3 linked regions of the Macaca mulatta genome follow. The protein of the gene in region 1 interacts with the protein of each later gene in a pairwise test. Links are inferred from orthologs where the notes say so. Each region holds a gene or a part of one and is shown on either strand. Other genes may lie near its edges.

Region 1 (6,450 bases):
CACAGGTATTACAGTACATATGCCATAAAAACAAATGATTAAAAGTGCCTCCCCTACTCAAAGTTCTTAATATACTTAATAGTCATAGTTCAAAGTTATTATGGCAGAAGCTGACACATAGAAGGCTCAAACTTTAAGTAGCACAGGATGTTGTTCAACAGTCTTGTTTTCATGTCTGGGGTATAGTCTGGTATAAGAAAGCCATATATATTTCTCCAACAGTTTCTGAATGTTAATATTTAATATTATATACTTGAACATATTTTTGCTTTCATTTACAGAAAACATACCATTAGCAATTGAATAAATCTTGGCCTATACCTTAAAGCCCTTTTAATAAATGTTTGTTGGTGCTTATTTAAAAGCAGGTAGCAGTGAAATTTCAATAGCTCCTAGAAATTAAATGATCAAAAAAATAAACTCTGTTCTCTATTTATGGCAAACTTACAATGAATAAACATTTCTACAGTCAGAGATGAAGACAAGCAGGTTAAAAATGACATCTAGTAAACTTGTCCTCCTCTACCCTGGTGTGCAACATATTTCAGTCAACTTTCAGAAAGTGGCTGGACCAAGCACTTAAATGCCCTAAGGCTGACCTGGACTAACTTTTAGGCAAATCATCCATCAGATCCTATAAGTCCTGCAGCACACTTAATTCAGACAAATAAGACAATAATTCCAAAAACAACTTGTTTAACAATAAGGACTAAGAAAGTGTTTAATTTTGAGATGTACTATTCTCAAAGACCCAAGTTAGCTTCAACTAGATAAGACTTGAGCCCTTATGCTTGCTATAGTTCAAAAGTGCCAAAACATGAGATTAGGGTTGAATTTGCGCCATCAGGTTTCTGCTAGCTGTTTTCAACTCAAATTTTCCCCATTCTGCTCTTTCCTTCAACCTGGTTTAACCCTGTCCGTCACAGTCTTCACCATATTCTTACTACCAAACTTATTTTTGAGCACTACTTCAAAACAAAAAGCGCCAATGGAACAGAAGAAATGTACCAACTAGCAAGGCGAACAAAGGCAAAGACTCCAGTAGCAAAGAGATTTAATTAAGAACAAAGGGAAACAGTTCCTGAAAACTGTGAGGCAGAATCTTAGACATTGCCAAGACCCCAGGAATTTAAAAAACTTATTATATTAAGAAACAGGCTGGCGCAGTGGTTCACACCTGTAATCCCAACACTTTGGGAGGCCGCGGCGGGTGGATCACCTGAGGTCAGGAGTTCGAGACCAGCCCAGCCTGGCCAACATGGTGAAACCCCATCTCTACGAAAAATACAAAAAATTATCCGGGAGGTGAGTGCCTATAATCCCAGCTACTCTGGAGGCTGAAGCAGTAGAATCACTTGAACCCGGGAAGTGGAGGTTGCAGTGAGCCAAGATTAGGCCACTGCATTCCAGCCTGGGCAACAGAACAAGATTCCATCTCAAAAACAAAACAAAACAAAACAAAACAAAAAAACAGTCCTGCCTCTCTAAATTGAACCCACCGAGGCTTCTGTGTCTTCCTGAAAAGGACCACAGTGGGTAATCCCATTGATGGGTTGTATTCACTCTCCCAGCATTTAACAAGGTCCACCTCCCCCAGTCATACAGTGATTAAGTGTCTTGCTAAATGGAAAAGCTGCAAACATCAATCTTTTACATTCTAGCCTCTCCTTCCCCCAGAATAGGCAAATCTCAACTTACTCACCTTTTGAAGTGTGAGTTTTTCTTCCTATTTAAAGTTTAAGGAGTTTTGGTAGTCTGGAAGTGGTGATTAGGAGCCCCCAGGAGTCAAACCTGTTTGAATGCTACCTTGGCCACTCAATAGTTTGGTCACCTTAGCAGGTCTTGGCCTTTCTCTGTGCCTCTTTCCTAACCTAATGCCTGATCTAACTATTATCTCTGGTTTTCCCAACCTGGAAACCAGGGATAATAGTATTTCCCGTGAGGTTACTGTAAAATTATGCATGTGAAGCAATTATGTTTGGACCCAGGGAAGTGCCCAGTAACTTATCTATTATTATCTTAGTGCCAAATTCTTCCTGCATACTGAAAAGATAACCCACGTTCAAGGAACAGTTAAGGAGGAAATACTGACACAAAACCCCCTTTTAATGTCTTCAGTCAGGACAGAGGAAATTCCCAGAAAAAAAAATGTACTTGTTGTGTTCCTTTTTTTCACGCAGCTTTGTTAAACATGATTTATCCTCAATAGAAACAAATCTTAAGAAAAATGATGCATTTGGCTTTCAACTTTTCCTGGTAATCCTAAAGACAGAGTCGGTTTTCCCCCAACGTTGCTTATAACAACCCAGGGCAAGAAAGAAAGATTTCAAAATGGCCCAAGTTATTTTTAATGCGGAAAAGACTGATGTGAGTTATGCATTTATCCTCCTACATGCTGCTTCCACAACCTCTCAAGAGATTTTTCACATATCTAAAAAGTCAAGTTGGTCTTTGCTTAACATTCATTCAGGAGATGAGAGGCCTGTCCTATTTTTCTTTTGTTTGACTTAAACATAATCTCATCGGTCTATTTCAATATCAGCTTCATCCCTCATCCAGGAAAGTACTTTATCTCTCCAAGACACCCTTGAAAAGAGTAATGGATGTTCCTTCCACCTAATGGGGATACTGAATCTAAGGCTCTCCTTACTGCCCTGTTTATCAACACATCCTCTGCACAGAAGGTGAAAAACTACATCCTACTACCACTTCACACCTGGAGAGTTTTTTTGACAAAAGATCAAGAAAATGTTTGACTCAGTTCAAATCTTTATGGATGACAACAATCTAATATGAATCATAAACGAAATCAATTCTAAATTTTCTTGTTCTTTTTCTGTTTTCAAATATGCAAATCGATATCTGATTACAAAGGCAGAAAAGCAGTTATTTTTATCAAACGTAATTGAAAAATACACACTTAATGCAGTACATATGTTTTATGCATTTTTGTATATGGAATGTTATATTACACAGCAAAGAAAGAAAAATTTAATAGAGGGTTGTAGACAATTCGGGAAATTAGAAAAACCAAAGTTCATTTTTATCATATATCCTTCGGTCAAACAAGCATTCCTATAGATAACTCTTGAACAGCAGCTATTAAATAAATCGTAAAGTACAATTTACTTCTTCCCTAGTTGGAACCAGAAGAATATAATCCCAATCAAGATTGGGGAAAAGTTCAAGACAACTTTAAAGGGGGAAAAAAAGGCACAATTAATACATTGTCTATAACTTAAAACTTTACAATAGATCTTTGGAATTAACCTAAGACTTTACATTTAACAGCATAAACGAATTTACCGTACATCAAGTACACGTTTCCTTGAATTCCAATTTTTTTCCTAAAATTCATTTACAAAAGAAATTAGAAATATAAATATCTACTTTTAAAGTTTCTACAAGGATGAGCTGAAACTTCTTTTCACTTTTATAACAATTTACAGAAATTAGCATGTGTTTTGAAACGCAAGCGTTCCACTCTCTGCCCCTGCAAAAGAGGGTGGACATGTTAAGAAACTGAGGCAAATTCTCAACTGAAAAGGAAAAATATATAAAGTACTCAGGGAAGAAATAACAGCTGAAAGCAAAAAATTATTAACAAACTAAAAGCAATAGAAATTCTAATCTACACTCGCAACTCTTACCCTTGACAGCACAGAAGAGAATCTCCTGTCTTACACATTTTGGAATTGCAATTCTGAAACGCTAAATCCAAAGACAAAGCCGCTCTGGGGAAAATAACAATTGCGCAACAGATCAACAGCTCCAACTTGTCCCTTGGCCCTGGCGCGGCGAGGTTTGCACGCTATAAAGCAGGAAAGGGCCAACCGAGGGCTGCTGTGACGGCCAACAGACCGCTGTCACAGAGGCCAAAGCCACGCGCGCGGTGCGCGCCACCAGGGGGCACCGCGTCCGAACTAGACGCCCCGGGTGCCGCCGACTCCGGCCTCAGAGTCCGCTGCCCTCGCCCGCACTTTCCCGCGGCGTTGCGAGAGGCCAACTCCGGGTGCCCGGGCCCGAACCCCTCCCCGGCCGAGAAAGTGCGCGGGGCCCGGCTCAGCCGCCACACGTCGGGGCTTCTGGGCCCGCTGGGCACTTCAGGCGCTCCTCCCTCGTCCCGGGGTTGAGCTTTCAAGAAAGCTCAAGGCTGCCAGAGAGTGATCCGACAGATGGATGACTTCGCAAAGCAGCGCCCACAGACGGCCCAGCGGTGTGAGCGCGCCGCAGCCCGCACACACGGAGGTCTTGGGGCGCGGCGAAGGGGCTCTGGGTCCCAGCACGAAGGCGACCTCAGTTCCCCCGAGAGTGGCCCCGTGACTAGGCACATTTTTGCCGGCTCTGAGGCGGGGGAGCCGCGCAGCCCCGGAAGGGCCGGGCCGCGCCGGCTCAGACGGCCAGCGTCCGCCCCTCTTGCCCCGCCGCCCGCCGGGCCGCTCAAACTTAGGGGCTCCGAAGCCCAGCTCTGGGGACCGGGGACGCGGCTGGATTCGCCCACCACTGCCCACGCCCGCGGGCTCAGTCCCCAGACCTTCCCGCAACTTCCCACCCGTTCGCCCTCGGGCTCGTGGTCGGTCGGACCACCCGGCCGCGTCCCCGCTGCCCCTCCCCACCCTGCCCCAGCGCAAGCGCGGCGGCTCCAGCCAGCGCTGCGGTCCTGGCTCTGGCCGGACGTGGAGGAAGCCGGCTGCGGCTATCCCTCCCGGGCCGCGGTTCCCTAGCTCCCCCGCCCCCGTCCCGGCACCACCGCAGGGCCCAGAGGGCCGAGGCAGCACCTGCTGGGACGGGAGTCCCGGCGGCGGCAGCTCCAACTCCATCATGCTGAGCTGGGGACCGTGTGTTGGGGCTCCCCGACGGCGGCCCCGTTCCGGCTGCCAAGGCGCGGCGCGGACAGGGCGGCTCTGGTGGCGGCAGCGGCGTCGGTGGCTCCTCCGGGCTCCCCGGCACTCGCTGATCGGCGACACGCCGGCGGGCCCCTGCCCCGCTCCGCCTCCCGCCCCAGAAGGGCGGGGCAAGAGCCTGGGCCCTTCCTTCCCCCGCCGGCCGCGCGGGCTGAGCTTCCGAAAATCCCCCACCCGCGCCTGGGCTGACGCAAGAAGCTCGCGGTCCGGGGGCGGGAAGGGACTGCCAGCTGGGGTCCCAGCAGGCGGGGGATCGAGAGGAGGCCACAGTTAGCGCCCCGGTGCCGGCGTTCAGTTGCCCTCCCCCGCAAATAAGGGCAGCGCTCTAGCCCGCGAGATAAAGAGTTATTTGCGAAGGTCGCTGGAGTTCGGACGCTTTGAAACAGTTTAAACAGTTGGAACAAACACACCCGGAGCCCCGGAAAGGCGTTGGTGTAGGAGCTGCGCCTCCCTGATTTGGAGTTACAGAACCTTGCCCTGCTTTTATCTCACTTTACCGCCCGAGAGTGGCGCCAGCCGGGGTGGGGGGCTAAAGGTTTGGACCCAGGCCGTGCCACTGCCAACTGCCCTCCCGCCCTTGCTCCCCTCCCGGGCTGGGGGCAGTGGGCCCTGCCCAGGGGAGATGTGGACAGCGCCGGGAGCTCGTGTTCGCAGTCACCCTGAACGCTCTCCTCTGAACTCCCACGTGTCTCCGTCAAGGGCAAACGGAGAAGTCCCTTTAGGTCGGAGAGTGGTCAGTATTGCCTACCCAGAGCTGGGAGAAAAACGGGAACCGCAAGAGAACTTCTTCCCACTAAAGCACAGCCACCACGCCACAGATGGCGCCCTTCAACAGTGTGTAATACCACAACATGCTATGATCTTTTAATCTTTACAAATTTCTTTTTCACGTACTCACAAAATAGTACAAATTTTAAAAAGTTACAAAAACGTTTGTATAGTATTGGCTCATTTTATAAAAACATGTGCCCAGAAAAAAATTGAAGGATAGTTACCAATATATTAAATGCTGTGGAATCAATGATTTTTATCTTTTTCCTTGCTACTTCCAAGTATGCTTTAAATCTGCAATGCGTATGTGTTATGTCTTACATTAAAAACAATTATTTAAACATTAATTATTGCCCAGAGAAAACTTCAAGTATTTGAAATCAGGAATATTGTGAAACGGGTTCAAAGAGGATAGATAAATGGTTTGGTTTTGTTTTTTTCTTTCCTCTTACGCATTTACAGTCTTTCTAACTCTTTAACAAGACTGGTTTTCAGTTTCTACCTTCCTGGAATTATTCAGAACCAGGTGAAGTAGATAATACTGGCAGTGGTTTTACTATTTCATTCAAAAACCACACACACACACACACACACCCCTGACTATAGCGATCAACGCCCAAAAAACTGCAGAGCTTACTTTCTCTCTGTTGCATAATTTGACACTCCCAGGATTTATGTGTAAATTTGTATATTCAGATATTCCTTGAGATAAGTGAAGCCTACATTAATTACTTGTAATTGAAGCAAGCTTCTTCAATTCCTATTAATTCCTTTC
Region 2 (6,406 bases), on another chromosome or scaffold:
CAGACCCCACGCCCCACCCCCGCGGCCACCCAGCCGGTCTGACCGAGACGGAGCGGCCCTTCCACTTCTATCCTCCACGGGTCTCCGAGGCTGTGGGATGCGGGAGAGGGAGGAGGGGTGGGAGGAAGACCAGGAACGGAGGACGGGAGTTGTGTTCGAGACTCGGGTTTAGAAATCCAGGAGCACAGCAGTAAGCACCCTCCCGCTCTCCCTCACCAGTGACTCCCACGACAGGTGCAATCCACAAAACCAGAGGCCGCCCAGGGTGTACCTGCCTCTCCCAGGAGCCTTTCTGCCAGAGACCCCAAGCCAGGCACCCTCCACAGGGGGCCACAAGGGTAGGTGGGGCCACTGTGGCACTGGTACCCAGTGGGCACCTGCCAAACAGGTGTCAACCGACTAACTGCAGCCCGGCTGCTCCCAGAGACCAGCCAGACACCCTTCCTATTGAGGATGAGGACCCCCACTGTCCGGCTGTCCTGGACATGGGAAATGCGGGAGGCACCCCACTTGGCACCCCCCAGCCCGGCCCGCACCAGCCGGCAGCCTGGCCCTGGCTGGCTGCCCTCCAGCAAGCCACGACTGTCCGCCTGGCTTGGAGGACGTCTGGTCACCTTGCATTTGCAGTCTGAGGAAGCTGTGTCATTCCGCTACATCCAGAGGTGACTCAGGCAGCTGCAGCAGCAGAGAGCAAACTGCAGAACACACCACACCTCCTCCAGTCCCTGCCCTGGCTCCCACCACACCATCCTCCTGTCCTCAGCTTCCAGCTTCCCGTCAGCGTCCTGTTCTCCCCGGCCAACCTGGGGCTTCAATCCACTCCCAGCTTCCAAGTCCAACCAGGGGCATTCCGGGGGGCCCAGATGCCCCCCAGCCCCCAACCGCATCACTCACCGGAGTTGCCCCCACCCCTGTCTCTTTTCCTCGTCCACGCTCCAACCGGGCTTGATCCCAGCCCTCAAGCATCTCCCGCCCGAACCCGCAGCACCTGCCCAGGCTCCGGCCTCCAGCTTCTCCAGTGTGGACCACAGCTTTGCCAAAGGGATGCCCTCACCCTGATCCTGGTGCCCCCCACGCAGCCCCACAGGCAGTCAAAAGTTTTGGGGTTCCTCCCAAACCCCGACCCCCTCACCCCAACACCGTTTCAGGTTTCTGATCACCCCCATCTGCAGAGAGCACGTGGCCCCCTGCCCCCCTCAAGCCCTGCTTCTTCCAGAAACGCTCCCCACTGCTCTCCTTGCGTAGGCAAGCACCCTCTACCAAGGCCTGGTTCTAGATCCTTCTGGGGACGGGGCCCTCCCCGTGGTGTGGTGAGCTCCTCGCAAGCAGGGAGCATGTCTTCCCTACACCCCATACGAGCCTCCCACTGTACGAGATGAGCCGGCCCCGCACGGGAGGGCAGCGAGAGGGCAGTCTCCACCCCAATACCTTCCCCAGGACGCCCGACGCGCAGTGCGAACAAGCAGGCAGGTTCTACACCAGACCCCACCGGCCCTTGGGACGGGCCAGCAGACGTCACGGCCTGGGTTTCCTCATCTACAGCGGCCGGTCGGGGTGGGGCGTGTGACCTCTCAGGTTCATTTGTACCTGCTCTAAAACTCTATGATTTTAAGACGACACTCCCAGTTTCCTGAAACTGTAGGAAAGCGGAAACATGACGGAGTCTGTGACTTATAAAAAGCAAAAATAAATAGCGGGGAAAGGTATCTTCCATTCGCGGAGAGCAGGGAGGGTGGGGACGGAGCGGTGAGTCACTGTTTACTGTTGAAAGGCAGCCACACGGAGCCTTCTCCCAGCTGGCCAGATTTCCATTTCCCGTGTGGACTGGACCCGAAACCCAGAAAGTCCACTCCAGAAACCTTTAGACTCAGAAACAGCTGGGACAGGAACAGGCACAACTTCTTCTCGGTCTGGGTGGCAAACAGCTTTGCTGGAGACTGTAAACAAACGCAGCCATCGCCGAGCCCCGTGGGTGAAAGCGCACGCCTTGTAGACAGCAGAGTGGCCCGGAAGACGGTCTCACTTAACAGCGGCCTCCCGGGTGCGCACAAAGGCTGGCGCCCCGACAGCCCCAACCCTTGGTAAACGCTGGCTCCCGGGTTTACCAGCACCTGGGGAATCAATGCTGTAGGGAACCAGCCCCTCAAAGCCCTGGCTCAGCTCAAGGATAAAAGGCAGGAGAAACCTGGTTTGTTTTTCTGCTTTAGTAAATGTCTTATTTTGGAATAATGAAAGGTCTAGTTTTAAAAAGCAGACTCCCTCTCCCAAGGTCAAACTCAGACATTCCTACTGGGTTACCTAAGAAGGGGAGATGTTCTCTTAAACGGCACTGGACGCCCAAATAGGATGTAGGTGTGTCCCAGACACCTGCACAGCCCACCTATGTTCTCCAGACCCCGCCCACAGCTCTTTCAATACTCCACATCTCTGAAGACACTGGGCTTGGAGAAGCTGCACAGGGCATCCCACTCCATGTTGGAGACCCCCTTACAACAACACACTGTGATAGTGAAACCTCAGTGCCAGTAGAGACCTGGCAGCCCACCCTGGAGAATCAGAGGGGTGGGAAGGGCAGTGCCGGAGCCGAACCACAGTGATATCCCCTAGTCCACGGTGTCCCGCAGTGGGGGGCGTTTTGAGTCCCAGGATCGTCCCAAGGCCAGGCACCTGGCCAGAGAGTGGCTGGCTGCCTGTGGGTCACCTGGTGAATGAATGGTGGATCTGATTTCTGCCTCAGCTACAAGAGCCGCCTAAGCAGCAAGAAACAGCATGCTCAGGGATGCAGGACACGGGGAGAGGGACACAGGAGGCCCCGCAAACATGAACACACACGGTGTGAGGGTGAGAATGCAGCACAGGGCCACTGCTGTACCCCAGGGGGACCCAGGTCAAGGGCCAAGGCCAGGCGGGGTCCTGGCTTTCTGGGTTTTTCCGCGGCGCCTCGACCCACCCCCCCAGTATCTTGAGGGTGTGCAAACAGAGACACACACACACACAGCGTCACGAGCACATAACACAGTTTCCTGAACTTGACAAGAGACACAGAAGAACCCACGCAGTGGGAGCGGGAAGAGGCCTGAGCCCCTGCCCCACATGTGAGCAAAGGGACACGCGCCTTGGGGCCCCTGTCACCTGCTCCCCTCCTGCCTCCCCACGGCCTTCCTTCCAGCAACCCTGGCAGGTGGGCGGCTGAAAGCAACACCAGTCCCAGGATCCTGCCTGTAGGGAGACTCGGTTACCCCCACCCCGTCCACGGGCACGCGTGGGCCGCAGCGCCGCCCGTCACCGGGAGGAAGCGAGGGGGGCAGGCCGGGGCCGCACGCGGAAGCCACGCTGGGGCGGAAGGCACGGGGAATCCACGCGCCCGCGCCCTCCCCGCGCCGCCCGCACGTGGCGCCCGCCCCGCCCCCCGCAGGTGTGAAGGCGCGGGCACAATGCGCGCCGCCGACTCGCGTGGACTCCCGTGTTCCCAGGTCTGGGGTCCACGCCCCAGGGCCCCGGGCTTAGGAAGCATGGCCCGGGCGGCACGTGCAGGGCAGAGAGCTTCGCGTCCCGGGGAAGCCCCCTGGGCCTGCGGGGCTGGGCCCAACGGGGCAGGTGCGCGGGCCGCGTAGGGGGCCGCATGGGGGTCTCGGGCCCTGCGCACCCAACCCCGCCACCCTCGGCCCGCGCCCCCGGGCGGCCGTGACTCAGCGGCCAGGTGGCCCCAGCCCCGCGTCCCGGTCTCCGTCCCCGCCGCGGCCCGGTCCCCGCTGCTCCACCGCCCCTCACCTGGCGTCGAGCGGAGGGCGCGGGCGCGCGGCGGCTCCTCGCGGGCACGCGCTGTCCTCGCGCCGGCGCTCACTCTCGCGCTCCCCTCGGCCGCCGCCGCCTGGCGCTCGGGCTCCGACTTCACGAAGAACAACAACTCCCCCCCGCCGCCCGCCGCCACCGCGCCCGCCCGCCCGGCTCCCCAGCATCTGACACCGCTTCCGGGATCCGCGGCGCGCGCGTCACGCCGCCCCGCCCCCCTGGGGCCACGCCCCCTCCCTCCCCCGCGGGCACGCCCTCCTCTCCCGCCCGGGGGTCCGCGGGCCCCGCCCGCACCTGCAATTCCCGCGCTTTGGGAGGCCCGGCGGGAGGATCTCTGTGGGCCAGCAGTTCAAGACCAGTCTGGGCAACATAGCGAAACCTCCCTTCCCCCATTCCCCGTCTCTACAAACATAAAAAACATTAAGGCCAGCTGGGCACAGTGGCTCATGCCTGTAATCCCAGCACGCTGGGAGGTCAAAGCAGGAGGATCGCTTGAGCCCAGGAATTCCAGACCAGCCTGGACAACATAGTGAGACCCCCATCTCTACAAAAAATTACAAAAAGTAGTCGGTCGTGGTGGTATGTGCCTGTAGTCCCAGTTACTCAGGAGGCTGAGGCAGGAGGATGGCTTGAACCTGGAAGGTGGAGGCTGCAGTGAGCCATGATTTCATCACTGCACTCTAGCCTGGGTGACAAGGTGAAACCCTGTCTCAAAAAACAAAACAAAACAAGCAAACCAGCAATGTAAAAATGGGGATAAGCGGCTACTGGTCACAGCTTCTGTGAGTGGGGCCAGCCCCCTTCTAAAGCCCCAGCTGCTGGTTGCCAGGGGGCCACAGCAGGCCCAGGATGGGGTTAGGGCACCACTGGCCCAAGGAGTCCTGTGAGGGATCCTCAGGTGGGAGCAGGTCCCTGAGGGAGCTGCCTCTGCTTCTTGTCGCAGGTGGAGGACAGGCTGGAGTGGGGACCCGTCCAGAGTCCCTCAGAGGGGAGGGTGAGCCCCTTACCAAGCTTCTGGGTCCCCAAGTCCCGCCCTCCTCTGAGCGCTGCGGGAAGAGGAGTCTCAGGCCTGGCCAACCAGGGCACCCACGGCATCTGCCCAGGGTTCTGGGAAGCCTGTTTTCTCGGCTCAGGTGGGACTCGGGAGCCTGTTTCTCGGCTCAGGTGGGACTCAGGAGCAAGGACAGGGAGGTCTGTGCATCTTCTGGGTGTCATCCTTACCACCGCGTGCCTGGGGATTTAGGCAGCCGCCCAGTGGCCTCTTGCTGTGGAGCGAGGGGGCAGCCTCCCGGACCATCTCTGACCCCCACTTCTGACCACCTGGGAGGCGCCTCCTTGCTGAGGCCCACGCTGCCGTCTGGGGTAGCCAGACACAGTGATGCCTGCAACCTGGCTGCAGAAACAGGTGCCAAGAAATAGCAGCAGTAGCGACAATGTCCCACGTCCCCAGGATGTTTGCAGAAAGACATCCCCGGGGGATGGGAAAGCTGCTTCCCTTGTCCCGGCCCACACTTTGCACTTGGGGTTCTGGGATGCGCTGGGAGCCTCCAGAGAAGCTGTGAGCGTCTCCTCTTTACGTTACTCATGGTGTCGCTGCTCTAACCCAACTGCATTCTTTCCATAGTAGGCTTTTGTTACTAATCGCACAGTTATATTATCTTTTTAATTTTTTAATTTGTATTTATTTATTTTTTTATTTTGACACAGAGTCTCACTCTGTCGCCCAGGCTGGAGTGCAGTGGTGCCATCTCAGCTCACTGCAAGCTCCGCCTCCTGGGTTCACGCCATTCTTCTGCCTCAGCCTCCCCAGTAGCTGGGACTACAGGTGCCCACTGCCACGCCCGGCTAATTTTTTTGTATTTTTTAAAATAGAGACGGGGTTTTGCCGTGTTAGCCAGGATGGTCTCGATCTCCTGACCTCGTGATCTGCCCGCCTCGGCCCCCCAAAGTGCTGGGATTACAGGCGTGAGCCACTGCGCCTGGCCGTATTTACTTTTGAGACGGAGTCTCACTCTGTCATCCAGCCTGGAGTGCGGTGGCACCATCTCAGCTCACTCCAGCCTCTGCCTCCCGGGTTCAGTGGTTCTTCTGCCTCAGCCCCCCGAGTAGCTGGGATCACAGGTGCCCACCACCACATATGGTTAGTTTTTTGTTGTTGTTGTCGTTGTTGTTTTGAGATGGAATCTCACTCTGTTGCCAGGCTGGAGTGCAGTGGCGCAATCTTGGCTCACTGCAAGCTCCGCCTCCCAGGTTCAAACAATTCTCCTGCCTCAGCCTCCTGAGTAGCTGGGACTACAGGTGCCTGCCATCATGCCCGGCTATTTTTTTTTTTTAATTGTATTTTTAGTAGAGATGATGTTTCACTGTGTTAGCGAGGATGGTCTCGATCTCCTGACCTCATGATCCGGCTTTCTCGGCCTCCCAAAGTGCTGGGATTACAGGCACGAGCCACCACACACAGCCAATGTTTGTATTTTTAATAGAGACGGGGTTTTGCCATGTTGACTGGGCTGGTCTCGAACTGCTGGCCTCAAATGATCCACCTGCCTCAGCCTCCCAAAGTGCTGGGATTACAGGCATGAGCCACCACACTGGCTAATTTTTGTATTTTTAG
Region 3 (6,640 bases), on another chromosome or scaffold:
CTAGGTGGCTCTTTTAGCTATGCACATGGAGAGGAGTGAGCAATTGGTTTTTTGAGTGCTAGACAGAGCTGCCTCAACATTTGGTCATCTGGGAAACTAGTGGGCCAATTTGCATACCAAACCCACGGCCTGTGGGAGGGAAGGGAAAGAAGTCATAGTGTCTGGTGGACCAAGGCACAGAGGCAGGAAAGCAAGACAAGGGCGCTGAAATAGAATTCGCTACATCAAGAAGAGCGGGGATCCTTGCTGGTGATCAGGGTGCCACACAGAGGTCTCCCCATTTGGAGAGGTCCTATGCCCTCCACAGTGGAGGAAGTACCATGATGTCGGCTTCACAGGAGAGACTGTGGGAGCGATGGAATTTCAGGCAGTGGGGACATCATGAGCAAAGGAAAGCGCGGGATGAACAGCAACACCCACCCCCTATGTGGCCTCTGAAGCCATCTCTTTTGGGTGGGGCTTCCCACCACGGCACACAGCCCTCATGTTTATGTGGCCCTCCTCCCCTGCGATGTACCCTGGGCCAGGAATCATTCAGACCTGGATTCCAATTCCAGTGCTGGTACTTCCTAGCCAAGTGCATTTAGAAAGTCACTTTCACCTCTCTGAGCCTCCAGTCATGTATTCCTTCAACATGTATTTACTGTGGGCCTACTACGTGCCAAGCACTATTCCAGACAGTGGGCAGGCAGTGTGAACAAGATAAGCCTGGCCAGGCGCAGTGGCTCACATCTGTAATCCCAGCACTTTGGGAGGCCGAGGTGGGTGGCCTGAGGTCAGGGGTTCAAGACCAGCCTGGCCAGGCATGGTGACACACCTGTAGTCCAGCTAATAGGGGGCTGAAACACGAGAATTGCTTGAACCTGGGAGGCAGAGGTTGCACTAAGCCAAGATTATGCCACTGCACTCCAGCCTGGGCAACAGAGTGAGACTCTGCCTCAAAAAAAAAAAAAAGAAAAACAGACAAGGCCTGCCTTTGTAAAACATACATTCTGGTTGGGGAAGACAGACAGACAATAACCAGCACTCACATACATAAATGATGAAACACCCTACAGAAGTATTAAGGTAATATAAGAACAAATTTCAAGGCTGGGTGTAGTGGCTTGCACCTGTAATCCCATCATTTTGGGAGCCCAACATGGGTGGATTGCCTGAGTTCAGGAGTTTGAGACCAGTCTGGGCAACATGGCAAAACCCTGTCTCTAAAAAAAAAAAAAAAAAATACAGAAAAGAACCTGGCATGGTGGTGCGTGCACCTCAGCCTCCTAGTTACTTGGGAGGCTGAGGTGGGAGAATGGCTGGAGTCCGGGAGAAGGAGGTTGTGTCACTGCACTCCAGCCTGGGTGACAGGGTGAGACCCTGTCTCAAGAAAAGCAGTAATAATAAAAATAAAATTTCAGAGGTGAAGATTGCTTTAACCAGGGTGGTCAGGAAAGGTCTCTCTGAGGCAGTGACATCTGGGCTGACATGAAAGATGAGAAAAAGCCAGGCAAGTGAACAGAAGGCGAGACAGCCAGTGCCAAAGGCCTGTTGCAGGAATGAGCTCGGTATGTTTGGGGGACAGAAAGAAGGGCACTGTGGCCGAAGAGCAGTGGATGGAGAGAAAGTGGCCAAAGGAGGTGTGTAAACAACCTGAGCTTTGTTGAACATTGAGAAGAACATTGGCTGGTGTAGAAAGAAAGACTTTGGAGGCAAAGTATGGAGCCTATCTATCCGGAGGCTGCTGCCATTGTCCGGGTAAGCTGATGGTGCTGAGACCAGGTGCCATGACTGGAAGTGGTGAGAAGTGGTCCTATGCAGGAGACCTGGAGACACCACTAGCTTGAGTCCTGAGGTGGGAAGGAAGGGAGAGTGAGGGATGGAGCCAGGCTCCCAGGTTTTGGCTTGAGCAGCTGAGATGGGATGGCAGGGGAGTGGAGGTAGGGCTGACATCAGGAGCGGTCTTTGGGCCGAGTCCTCTGCAGTCCCCATCTGACACCCACTGGAGGTGCAGAGTGGACAGCTGGCTATGAGTCTGGAACTGAGAGAAGCTGTTCGCTCTGGAAATACACACCTGGGGCTCATGGTCATAGATGTCATTTAAAGCCACGGGACTGGATGAGATCATTAAGGCAGAAGGTGTAGGTCGAAAGAAGAGGGCCAGGACCACTGACTGCAAAATGAGCCAATGACACCTACACCCACGGGGCTCTCGCGACGTGTCGCGTGAACGCACCCAACGAGCACTGGAACCAGAGCGGCCCCGGGGGCGGGGCTACCAGGGGGCGGGGTCAGACGGGGGCGGGGCCGAGGGACCAGGCGGCCGCTGCTGGCCGGAGGGCAGCCGGGACGGTGACGTCACCGCATGACTGGGTTTTTATGAATGAAAGGAATCCTGTGAGTGAGTAATTCCGGGAAGCTCGCCTTACAACTCCGCGCGGCCTCGGCCCCCTGCGCCGCCCTCCCCACAACAAAACTCAGCGCGGCGCTCCAGAGCGCCCGGTTCAGAGCGACCTGCGGCTCAGAGCGGAGGGGAGACAGACCAGAGCGCGGGCCGGGACAGCGGCCGGGACAGCGGCGAGACGCGCGCGTGCGAGTGCGCCGGGCCAAGAGGGCCCAGAGGCGGGTGAGGAACGCGGGGCCAGGAGGGCGGTGCGCGGGACCCCGAGGCGGCAGGGTTTCCCGCCCCAGGACGCGCCTGGGGTGGGCGCCGGGGCCCGATCCGTCGGGGCTCCCGGGGCTCCATCGCCCGACGGCTCGGGGCGGGGAGAAGGGAGCGGCCGTCCCGGGGACGCCGAGGACGGGGCCGAGGCCAGCTCGGCGGAGTGGGGGTGGAGACGGGGCCCCTTCCCGGGGCGCGGGCGGGGAGGCGGCGGCGCCGGGGAGGAAGGGGCAGCGCAGGCTGGCGATCTCCGCGTCCGCCCGGCGGGGGCGGGGGCGCTGTGCTCCTACGTGACTTCGGTGGGAACAGGCCCTGGCCCGGCGCCGGCGGGCGGTGCGTGCGCGGTTTGTTTACGTCTGAGGGCGGGCGGTCGGGCGTGTGTTCCCTGGCGGGCGGCCTGGGTATCCTGCCCGGTGCGTGCGTGCGCGGTGTACCTCGGGGGGCGTGTGTCTGTTGTGCTGTGTGTGCGCGTGTGTGCTTGTGTGTGCGTGTCCGCGCGCGCGCTCCCTGGGGCCTGTACACCAGCGGTGTGTACCTCGGAGAGGGCGTGCCCTGGGCTGGCCACCGGAGTAAACGCGGAACAAGGACCCGAGCGAAGGAAGCGGACCCATGCGTCTTCACACGGGGTCTGGGAATTCTGGCCCGGGCCTCCCCAGTCCTACTTACCCAGGGCTGTCCGGTCCCCGCTCTCCCCGGAGTTTCCCAGGGCCTCTGCCACGTGACCCCAGTGTTTGTCCCCCGCCCAGAGCCGGTGCCCGCAGCCACAGGGTGGGGCAAGGTATCAAAGACCCCACCCAGCTAAGCTAGGAGCGAGGGGTGTGAGCCACCCCCGCTTGGCACCCTGGTGGATCTGGTAACAAAGTGAGTTGGAGCCCAGGTTCTTGTCCCCAGATTTTGGGGCTCCCTAGGGAGGGAAAACCCAACGTACTCTCCTTCTTCCCAGGGTTGCCCATCCCCTCAGTCCCGTGAGAACAGGAAGGGCCAGAAAACCTTGACTGCAAAGGTGCGGGGCAGGGAGAGGACCACAGGCTTTCTCGCTAGTCCGGGTTCTGGAGGCTGTACCTGCTAGGTCTTGGAGGATGGGGTGGAGCCGGTTTCCGCCCTCCTGGTAGTTTCAGTTCGCAAGTGGGACTAGTGAGACCAGACTGACCTACAGCTGGACGCCGGAAGCTAGCTGAGGCTCTGAGCCAGCCGGCAGACCCCGAGTCCTCACCCTGAGCCAGGCAGGGTCAGCAGGCAGTGGGGATAGGCCTCTGCACGAAGGGTTAACGAGCGAGGGGTGGGGCCTGACCTAGCCACCACCTACCCACTCACCCAATAGCCCTGCAGAAAGCACCTGTTTGTTGTAGCAGCCTGCAGGATGGGCTGGGGGCTAGAGATTCCTTGGTCTTAATCCACCTTCCCCCTCCACCCACCCACAGGCTAGGGAATCATGGGAGGGGAGCAATGGAACTTCCTAGTGTGAGGAACCAATGATCTTTTGACTTTGGATCTTTGAACCCTGGGTGAGCTCTGCTGCAGCAGCTGAGACCCTCAGTGTTCCCATCTGCCACTGGAACTAGATAACAGCCAGGATGGCAGGATGGTGGGTAGAAGGGGGAAGCTCTGGAAGTCTCAGACTGCAGGCAGCATATTTTCCAGGTGAATTGTGGAAGAGAAAGAGCCGACTGCCCCATGCCAGGAGCTGGGGGTACCCAAGAGTAGGTCAGGGGGGTTGGGGCCAGGAGCACAGGAACCAGACAGGCCCACCCTCAAAGCTGGGCAGGAAACTTTCCAAAGTAGGGCCTGGGGTCAGGGGATGAGGGGAAGTGGCTGGTTGACTCAGTCCCAGATGAAAAGTTAGCATTGAGAGGTTTAACTTCCCATTGAATCACCCCTGGGCCCTGCATTGCCATTGGGCCCCTGCCCTGGACCAGATGCCAGGGATGAGATGAACAGACCAGATCCAGAGACTGACCTCTGGGAGCTTACAGCTGAGCAGTGGACACAGAGTTGAAGAAAGATCCACAGAAGTAAATGCAAAACACAGCTGAGATGGGTGACGTGAGGGAGAAGTCACTGTGGTTTGAAAGTACATAACAGCGCTCTGACTTAGCCAGGGCAATCAAGGAAGGCTTCCCTGGGGAGGTGACTAGTGCACTGAGTCTGATAGAGTGGTGGTTGTCTGCAAAGCCCTTGAAGGCAGGAACTGTGATTCACTTCAGGGTCTCCAGGGCCCAGCACAGAGCCTGGAACACAATGGGTGCTTCTCGAATGTTTGCTGATTGCATGAATGAGCCCTGGATCCCTGTCCTCGAAGAGCTCCACAACATATGCAGAAAAAGGCCTGGGAACCCCAGAGAAACAGGAAGCCAGGGCAGAGGCTGGAGGAATCTTGAAGCAGTCTCCCAAAAGCGAGCAGATCCTTCAGGGCTCAGGCAACTTCCTCCCTCACACACACAGGCATGCACTGCCCGCTTGTCCCTTTGGGAAACATTCAGGGATAGTAGAATTTGCTATCTGTTCATTCATTTGTTAGCATATGATCCTGGGAGAGAGTGGACAGGAACATGGTTGAGGCCTGAGGACCCTACTGTGTGGGCTTGCGGGGAGGCTGGCATTGCAGGGTTTTGAAATGGGCCAAGCACGGAGAGGCTCGTGGGTTTGTGTCAGTAGTGATTCCTCTGACAGCTCTTGCGGGAGGATCAATGGTGGGGATTGGAGACAGACGGCAAGGCAAGAGGCTGGTGAGCAGGCAGCTGTGGTCATGGTCCAGATGAAAGAAGAAGTGGTCTGTGGCTGTGCAGGTGGAGAAGAGGGCTAGTCTGATAGTCTGATAGTTTGCGTCTCATGCCCCCACCTTCGGGAAGCCTTCACCACTTTCCTTTCCCTGCCTCTATTCTGCTGGTGGTCTTGGAGCTCTGAGCCAGAATCTGAAACTCTAAACTCGGAGATAGTCATTGTTGGAAGGTACCTTAGACTTGGAGGAGGTTTGGCGTATTGGGAAAACTGAGGCCCAGAGAGAGGGAGTGCTGTCCCTGAAGCCACACAGCGAGTGTGAGAGGGTGCCCGAACTAGGGCTGGAACCCCAGGCCGTTGCTTCTCTGTGGTGCTGGGTTCTCCCAGCCTTGCTCCCCTTCCAGCAGGGAGGCGGCTCCAGCAGAGCTGGCTGCCAAGACCTAGGAAAACACATTTTTTCCCTCTGTCCTCACAGAGCAAGCAAAATGGCTCAGCAGCCAGAGAGGAGCCCATGCCAGCGGGTGGGCCTTCTACAGGATGTCTCTGGAGTGGACTGCTGGGGCCAGGGAGGGGGACGTTGGAGGGTTGTGGCTGCTGACTGGACAAGGCAGCTGTCAGTCCCTCAAGAGTCACCTCTCTCCTTATGCCTCCAGAAGACGTCATGGACCTCCAGACCCTGGAGGTCAGCTCTGCTGGCTTCCAAGGGAAGAAGCTAGGGAGAGGCGGTGGTGGCCGGAATAGAAGAGAGAGGACCCCTGGGTTCCAGTCCACCACTGCTACCAAACAGTGGCTTGGTTGCCTCCGGTGCCTAACAGGGGATTGGATCAGCTACTATTTCTCAGGCCCAGGGTCCGCCAGCCTGGCAAAGGCAGAGGACCCATGCCCCTTGGCAGCCCCTGGCCTGGGGTTGCCTGCGGAAAGCCTGAGGTTACCAGAAAGTTCCCCCTTCTTGTGACTTTCCCTCTGTGATTGCCTGACTTTGCTGAGCTAGGACATTCCTGGGCAAACGTGGGTGCCTCAGCTGACATCCAGGATACAGTTGAGGGGGCTGAGGCTGGGACAGGAGGGCATGGAGGAGTGGGGGAAGAGCAGGTTCAAAACCTTCCTAGCGCCTGAGGGTATTTACAAACACAGCCAGCTTCCACTATTAGCAAGGGTAGGGAATGGCTGATGGTTCCATCTCTCCGTTCCATCTCTCGGGCCTGGTCTGGAGGCACTGTTGAGGATTCTGAGGCTGTGTCCAAGCTCAGGAGAAAACAGTTCTGTGCTGAGAAAGAC

Evidence for each region.
Region 2: the proteins of NFE2L2 (region 1) and MAFK interact in binary tests that used the Homo sapiens proteins (3 or more experiments, as listed by UniProt). The link is inferred for Macaca mulatta from reciprocal best matches to the Homo sapiens genes NFE2L2 and MAFK.
Region 3: the proteins of NFE2L2 (region 1) and MAFF interact in binary tests that used the Homo sapiens proteins (3 or more experiments, as listed by UniProt). The link is inferred for Macaca mulatta from reciprocal best matches to the Homo sapiens genes NFE2L2 and MAFF.

The regions. Positions count from the first base shown.
Region 1 is NC_133417.1:82,176,428-82,182,877, forward strand, and holds the start of NFE2L2 (nuclear factor erythroid 2-related factor 2), read right to left. Parts: upstream 3,786-6,450; 5' UTR 3,651-3,785; intron 2,039-3,650; exon of another isoform or gene 1,703-2,038; intron 1-1,702.
Region 2 is NC_133408.1:35,468,917-35,475,322, reverse strand, and holds the start of MAFK (transcription factor MafK), read right to left. Parts: upstream 4,032-6,406; 5' UTR 3,772-4,031; intron 1,534-3,771; exon of another isoform or gene 1,429-1,533; intron 1,277-1,428; exon of another isoform or gene 1,217-1,276; intron 1,098-1,216; exon of another isoform or gene 764-1,097; intron 663-763; exon of another isoform or gene 1-662. UniProt on the Homo sapiens protein: Since they lack a putative transactivation domain, the small Mafs behave as transcriptional repressors when they dimerize among themselves.
Region 3 is NC_133415.1:13,287,085-13,293,724, reverse strand, and holds the start of MAFF (transcription factor MafF), read left to right. Parts: upstream 1-2,279; 5' UTR 2,280-2,608; exon of another isoform or gene 2,609-2,634; intron 2,635-3,310; exon of another isoform or gene 3,311-3,376; intron 3,377-3,440; exon of another isoform or gene 3,441-3,505; intron 3,506-3,706; exon of another isoform or gene 3,707-3,912; intron 3,913-6,640. UniProt on the Homo sapiens protein: Since they lack a putative transactivation domain, the small Mafs behave as transcriptional repressors when they dimerize among themselves.